Linked DNA regions of Ovis aries. The protein of the gene in region 1 purifies or fractionates together with the protein of each later gene. This does not show direct contact. Links are inferred from orthologs where the notes say so. Each region holds a gene or a part of one and is shown on either strand. Other genes may lie near its edges.

Region 1 (3,815 bases):
TATATATTTTGGATATTAGTCCCTTAGGTAACACGATCTGCAGATATTTTTTCCTATCCTGTAGGTTGCCTTTTCATTTTGTTGATGGTTTCCTTTACTGTTTCAGAAGCTTTAAATTTAGTTTGATGTAGTCCTACTTGTTTGTTTTGCTTTTGTTACTTCTTAAATTTATTTTAGAAATCAGTGCTCCTGCCATAAATGGAAAATAGCTACAAAATATATACAGTACAAAGTGAAATTATGAATTTCTAGCTGGATTTGGGTGTCCGCCTGAGTTCTCAGTGCCTGATAATCCTTTTCTTAAAAGGGAAGACTAGTAAAATGACAAAGTTGTACTTGTTAGGTGTCAAACGACACCCTGGCAGTGAAAGTAAAGGATGCTTTCCCTTAATGTAATTAGGGGGATTGAAAAAGAGTAATTTTCTCTCCGTGCTACTCAGTGTGGGTCTCTAGTACCACAGCAGATGGGGTGGGGTTTGCAGTCTGTCCTCTGGGAGGCCAGCATGTAGCACTCAGCCTCCCAGAACTTGAACTGGGAAAAAGAGGAGTCCAAGGGACTGGCAAGAGACCATGGCCCCTCTCTGGCTTGTCTTTGGTGGATGAGGTTTTACTAGGTGTGGAGCAGAGAAGTTTGGAAGCACAGTCCTCCAGTGGTAGATGGCTCTCTCTCCCTCTAGGAATCAACACTGAATGTGGACTTGGATTTCAAGCAGCCTTTCCTGGAGTTGAATCGTATCCTGGAAGCTCTGCATGAACAAGACCTGGGGCCAGCATTGGAGTACGTTGGCCTTTGGGTGGTCCCACAGGGGACAGGGCTTGTCTGCTCTTCGCGTCACCCAGCATACTTGACGCACCTCCAGTCCTGTCTCACGGGCCTCACATAAGATTTTGGAGGCCCTGCCAAGCCCCCTTCTCTTGCCTTACTAGCTCCCACTCAGCTGGCCTCTTTCTCCCCAGGTGGGCTGTCTCCCACAGGCAGCGCCTGCTGGAGCTCAATAGCTCCCTGGAGTTCAAGCTGCACCGACTGCAGTTCATCCGTCTCCTGGCAGGTGGCCCTGAGAAGCAGCTGGAGGCCCTCAGCTATGCCCGGCACTTCCAGCCCTTTGCTCACGTGCACCAGCGTGGTACGTGCCCAGGTGCTGGGGTGGCCCCTACAACATGCATTCCCTTATGCTGCTCTGTCTCACATGCTATACTGCATGCCCCCCCCACTGCCCCCCCCCCCAAAAAAAAAAGATTAGCTAGTACTGGAGCAGAGGGACAAGAGCCTGAGACCCGCTCCTTGGACGCAGCTGGAAGGGTGGGGAAGAAACTGAAACCCCTCCCTATGTCACGTTGTGCGGTCATGCTTGCCACAGAAACAGCCCTGAAACCTTACTTCCTCACTGGGTTTTAGGGAAAACTGGCTTTGCCAGAGGGCATTTTAATCGATTGGCCAGGTCATGGGCCTGGGAGCCATGGGGCACAGCCTGCCCCCCATACTGCCTCTGCAGCCCTGCCACCCGAGGGCTGGAGGCAGAGCCCGGAGAAAAGCTGCCTCCTTGCACCCTGATTCCCTTTTGCCTTGTAGAGATCCAGGTGATGATGGGCAGTCTGGTGTACCTGCAGCTGGGTTTGGAGAAGTCACCCTACTGCCATCTCCTGGACAACAGCCATTGGGCCGAGATCTGTGAGACCTTTACACGTGATGCTTGTTCCCTGTTGGGCCTTTCTGTGGAGTCACCCCTCAGTGTCAGGTATAGTCAGCCCTGAGGGGGCAGTACAAGTGGGCGGGCTGAGGGAAACCCAACTTGTCAAGGCCCTGCCCTGTCCAGGGGTGGTGTTTGGTGCCTTCACAGACCTAAACTGGCTGCTCAGTCACTCTTCCAGGTAGGAATTACCTTTCTTTCTAGTACCCCTCCCAGGTGGTGCTTGTGGTAAAAACCTGCCTGCTATGCAGGAAACATAAGGGACGTGGGTTCAATCCCCGGGTAGGCAAGATGCCTTGGAGGAGGAAATGGCAACCCACTCCAGTATTCTTGCCTGGAGATTCTCATGGAGAAAGGAGACTGGTGGGCTACAGTCCATGGGGTCACAAAGAGTCGGACATGGCTGAAGTGACTCAACACACACTACAGCTGGAGAACAGATTTAGAGTTGTGGCCTGGGGTCACCACAAGGTCAGTGGCAGAGTCAGGGTTCCCATTTTGTAAGGTCTCTTGAATGAAGTCTGTGCTTCCTGCACCTCACCTCTGGGTAATCACAGGACCCTCTGACGGCCCAGCCTTCTGGCCACCTCGTGTCTCAAACACCACTTCCCTCAGGGAGACTGAGTAGCTGAGTCACAGGTGCTGAGAGCTGTCGCTTTGACGGCTCCTTTACAGTAATATTCTCATGGCTTCAAACCAACCCAAGAGTTACAGGTGCTGTTACCCTCATTTTACAGGAAGAAACAGAGGCTCCTAAGGCCTCATAGGGAATGAAGGTCACCTGGACCTGACCCCACCACATATACATGTGTGGTGTATGTACATACAGTGGTGTATTTTATTTAGGCTGGCCGTGGAACCGCATGGGGTGCATTTGTCTGCCCAGTCGTGATAGGCTCCATCCTCCAGTTTCTTCCCATGGACTCTGGTTACAGAACATTCTTCCCCAGCACGAACATGGGCACCTTAGGCCGGTTCTGTTTGCACACTTGCTCTGCGTATTGTAGGGGTTTGGCACCCCAGGCTCCAGCCAGTTGGTTCCCCATCCCCACCCCAATCCTAGTGAAAACTGAATCTACTTTTTCCCATTTCTAAGTGCCCTGGTTGATAACCAGTTATAGACGTGCACTGTGATGACAGAGTGGGGTACACAGGCAGGATGAGGCCCTTCCGAACATTAGTGTCCCTGTCACACCGAGGATGTATCCGTGGATGAACAGGTATCTGGCCCCTGGATATTCCTTTTGTCCAAATTTTGGGGTGCATTAGAATGACTTTCTAGAGTTGAGACACAGAACCATGTATGTGGCTTTCTGCATGACCTGAGAGATTTTTAAGGACTGGTTTGATCAAGTGCCACTTTGAAACCCTGTGCTGAGTCATGTACTGACAGCGTGCAGTGCCTTTTGTCTGTCTGCTGGGCTCTTGGTCAGGCTGGTCCCTCCAGCCCCTACTCTCTGTTCTGCAGCTTTGCCTCTGGCTGTGTGGCACTGCCTGTGCTGATGAATATCAAAGCTGTGATGGAGCAGAGGCAGTGCTCTGGGGTCTGGAGTCACAAGGACGAGCTACCGGTGAGGCCCAGTGTGGGGGGGGGGAGGCACAGCCTGAAGCACTGGGGAGGACAGCGCCACAGGAAGGGGGACTCACCCCACTGTTGGCCTCCCCAGATTGAGATTGAACTCGGCATGAAGTGCTGGTACCACTCTGTGTTCGCGTGCCCCATCCTCCGCCAGCAGACGTCAGATTCCAACCCTCCCATCAAGCTCATCTGTGGCCATGTCATCTCCCGAGATGCACTCAACAAGCTCATTAATGGAGGAAAGTAAGTTCCTGGGGTTCTCTCCCACCTTAGGTTGATTCTTCTGCTGGCTGGCCACCTGAGACATTCTTGGTTCTTCTCCCTTTGTAGGCTGAAGTGTCCCTACTGTCCCATGGAGCAGAACCCAGCAGATGGGAAACGCATCATATTCTGATTCCTGCTGGGGAGGAACTTTGTTGCAAGAGGTCTTTCACCCACAAGCCTTGGTCTGTCTCGGTGGGGGTAGTTGGCTTCCGTGAACTGTGGTTCATTTCAGAGCAACTGGCTGAGGAGTGCCACCACAAGCAGGGCCGGCCCTCTGGCAGAGG
Region 2 (3,815 bases), on another chromosome or scaffold:
TAAGTCCCTGTGTCTTAATTTTTCTTGCAAAAAGAAGCTAAGTTGGTATATAGCAGCATTCTCCAAATTACGAACCACAATCCATTAGCAGATCATGAAATCAATTTAGAGAGAGAGAAGGAAGGAGCTGAGTAAGTTGACCAGGGTCAATTCCTTCCCCAATACTGGGCTGAGGGTTGGGGAAAAACTTCTAGGGTAAAGAAGATGAGTGATTGGCTTAATTTCTTTGTAAAAATGACAATCGGAAATCCTTAAGTAAACAGACTGATACTCAGATGGAGAGTTCTATATAGAATGCTGTGAGAATGCTTCCTCAATTTAGAAATGCTTACAGTAAACCAGTGGTTCTCAGAGAGTGGACCAGTAGCATCTGGTTTACCAGATACTAAAGTTTACCAGTTACTGGCAAACTTGTTAGAAATGCATATTCTCAGGCCCCATCCCACACTGACTGAATTAGAAACTCTGGAGGTAGGGGTCCAGGATTCTGTGTTTAATACGCTCTCCAGGTAATTTCGGTCCCTGCTCAAGTTTGAGAACCATTGTGGTAAATGGTCTATGGATTTATGAGCCATGGTTCCCCAAAGAATGTTACACAAATCCTCAAGGTATAAAATCAAGATGCTTCATAATTTAGCTCCCTGCTGTGTGAGATGACCCACAAGCCTCATTTACAGACCTTAGGCATCATTACAGGCCAGAGGAGCAAGTGTCTAATATAGGAAAAACAAACTCTGGAGGCACATGACATGTCCCTCTCCCTGCCTGCTTTGCCTATGCCTCTTGACTACTTATATTTTTGAAGTATTTGTAAAACATGACCCTGGACAAGATCTCCAATACATATGTGTCCACTTTGAAACTATGATTCTGCATCTCAGCTCAGAGAATCACAACCAGCATTTTTTAAAATGAAAAAGGATAAAATAGAAGTCAGAAGGCACCACATTTATGCAATTGTTTTGTGAAGACTATCTCAAGATATTCCCACCACCACTCTGCGCCCCCACCTCCCACCCCCCACACACAGTGTGGCCGTAGAAAATATAATTCTACTGTGAATTGTGGATAAGAGAGTTTAAAAAATACTAGCCTTGATAAATTTATTAAGAAAGCCCCAGATAAGCAACAGATAAAAATACACTCTAATAATCCCTGAAGTTTCTGAAAACCAATGAATGACTCTGAAGATCTTTAGATTCTCTCACATGTATTCTCTGATCCTAGCCTGGTAAGTAAGCCTCTAACAAGTGCTTCTGGTTCACCTTTTCAGCTGAAATGAACAATGATTCCCTTCCTGCATTAAACTATTCTGTCCACTGTCCTGCATATTCTCTTTTTCAAAGATGTGCCCTAGAACAGCTTCTTTTCTCTACACTTCTTGAAATCTTATCCATTATTCAAGATCAGGTCAAATTCTACCTTCTCCATAAAGCCTCCTCTACCAGATTTAACCTATAGTGAGTGCATTAAATGTGTTTCCTTTTAAGAAATTAAGAAAGGTCTTTACAAAACAAAAAACAACAAAAAACCCCAGCTTATAAATTTCTCAAGGTCTGGGACTACCTTTCACTGCTTTACAAAGCCTAGAACATTTGATATTTGCAAATTAGCAATTCAAATATTTCTTGAGACTTTTCTATAACATAGTTATCACAGCTAAGATCAGTTATGAGATGCTAAGCTAAGTAAATCAGAAGTATGCTGTTAGTAAAAATGTAACTTGATGATTGAAAAACACCTAAAACTCACTGTATACAGTAGTTCCTCTGGAGTGACGGGACTGGTGAAGATGGTGCGCAGGCATCGGAGGCAAGCTTCAATGAACTTCAGGTCTGGGGACAGTAGTCCTGTTAAGAGAAAACAGATTTGAGACTCATGCTTCCAACTTATATTTAAAACGCTGCAAACTGATTCTACTTTTTACCTGTATAAAAATGACTTCCTTACATACCTTGCAGTAAGGCAGGGATAATATGGCAATCTAGTAGAGACTTAACATTGTTTTCAGTACCCATAGCAAGACTTCCCAATACCACTGCACATTCAGTTTTCAATTCTGTGCTTGAGGTTTCTTGCTGAAGCAAGTACAATAATCTAAAAAGAAAGAACTTGATAAACAGAAGAGACTAAAAAACTTAAAAGTAAACATTAGCTAAAAGTAATGTTACAGAAAAGGCTACCAATACATCCCACACACTGAAAATATGGTAGGTGAGTTTACAGGCTGCTAGGAAATGGTCATATCTTTATATAAGCTGTTAATTTAATAAAGGAATATCGGCAGCGGGGAGAACCAAAAGAGATTTTCTTCTTTGTGAACAACAGAATTATCATACAATCTTAGTGTCAGAACTTCAAAATCTGAGAGTTGTCCACAAGCGATGTCCTGTAGAAACAGCCAGCACGACAGTCCACATTATCTGACACTTCAAGATATGAAGATTCCCAAAGCCAAGTGCTGGTGGATCTTAAGGACCCTGAATATCCACTACCACAGTTCAGAGATCACAGACATCTAGCCTAGAGGGAATACTCAGAGTCCTTGTGCAGCTCTTCAAACAAGGGAAGTTCTCTTCTTTCTCTGATTCTCCTATTTGGGGCATCAAAAGATCCTATTCTATTCTAGGCTAGCCTGTCAAAAAACTACTCCCCAAATTCCAATTGTCTACAACATATGACTATCTCCTTTATGTTCTAAGGTACATCCTTCATGCTCCCTAAAGCATATTTATATATACTGAGCACTAGTCCCCTAAGAAAGGCTGCTGACAGCTTTACAGTTACCAATGGTTGATTATAATAAAAACAACAAAACCATTAAACAATCCTACATTAAAAGACACGAAAGAAAAAAGAAGAAAGAAAAGCAAGACATTTAAAAATTCTGAATGAAAAATTTGTAACTGCACATAAAACTTAATTCTGGGTAGCAAAGGCAAAGAAGCAGTTAAACAATTATCACTGTCTGCCAAAAAGAAGCTTAATAGCTTCATCAGAAGACATGAAACTTTCTATGTTAATTTAAAAGCCAGCAAATTCTAAAAAGCAGGGTCAAAAAATAAATTTTTTTTTTAGTTTCAAAAAAGGTTTTGAGAATCCTAAGAAATTATTATCCCATCATATAAAAGTTGCCAGAGCTCTGAGGAGACCGGGAAGAATCAGGATGGTGTACATTGCTTATTTACCCAACGTGTCCTTTTATGGCAGGGTCAATGATCTTCCCAAACCTGTAAAAAGTATTCATATATTCCACTCCTTGGTATCTTAATTTTTTAAAAGAGATGCTTCATATACTTCAAAGCATTTATTAAAAAAAAAAAAAAGTAGGACAGACAATACAGAAAAAAGAAGGGTCTTATGACTGAGAATGAGAACACATCTGAAACTTCATATGAATAGCAGAAAAGGGGATAGTAGCAAACTTACCTTGGAACAGCTCCTAAAACAATGAGGTTGGCTTTCTGCTTGTTGTTTCCAATTACAGCATTTTTCATGTCTCTGAATTCAAGGAAAAGAGAAAAGGGTAAGATGTGTTGAGATACTAATTTATCTTTATTTTACAGCATCTTGGATTGTCAAGTACGGATGTTAAGTGACAAAGTAAAACCCTGACACTTCTCTGCTTGGAGTGCTAAAGAGACGGGACAGAGACAGGGCTGTGCAACCAGGGGCTATGAAACAGGAGGGCAGCAGTGGAGGGGGAGTGAGAGACAGCCTGAGAATCAGCAAAAGACTTTCAATACAAAGAAAGCCGAGTTCTTCAAAAAAAAGACCACCGATCCTTTGAATAATAAGAAATACAGGCTATCTTC

What was found.
Region 2: the proteins of RMND5B (region 1) and ARMC8 purify together in Homo sapiens (affinity purification with mass spectrometry; 4 studies listed by BioGRID and IntAct, with this or other methods). This does not show direct contact. The link is inferred for Ovis aries from reciprocal best matches to the Homo sapiens genes RMND5B and ARMC8.

What each region holds. Positions count from the first base shown.
Region 1 is NC_056058.1:36,944,606-36,948,420, forward strand, and holds part of RMND5B (E3 ubiquitin-protein transferase RMND5B), read left to right. Parts: intron 1-677; coding exon 678-778; intron 779-957; coding exon 958-1,124; intron 1,125-1,570; coding exon 1,571-1,736; intron 1,737-3,156; coding exon 3,157-3,259; intron 3,260-3,355; coding exon 3,356-3,510; intron 3,511-3,597; coding exon 3,598-3,661; 3' UTR 3,662-3,815. UniProt on the Homo sapiens protein: Core component of the CTLH E3 ubiquitin-protein ligase complex that selectively accepts ubiquitin from UBE2H and mediates ubiquitination and subsequent proteasomal degradation of the transcription factor HBP1.
Region 2 is NC_056054.1:251,535,229-251,539,043, forward strand, and holds part of ARMC8 (armadillo repeat-containing protein 8), read right to left. Parts: intron 3,502-3,815; coding exon 3,430-3,501; intron 2,098-3,429; coding exon 1,955-2,097; intron 1,851-1,954; coding exon 1,753-1,850; intron 1-1,752. UniProt on the Homo sapiens protein: Component of the CTLH E3 ubiquitin-protein ligase complex that selectively accepts ubiquitin from UBE2H and mediates ubiquitination and subsequent proteasomal degradation of the transcription factor HBP1.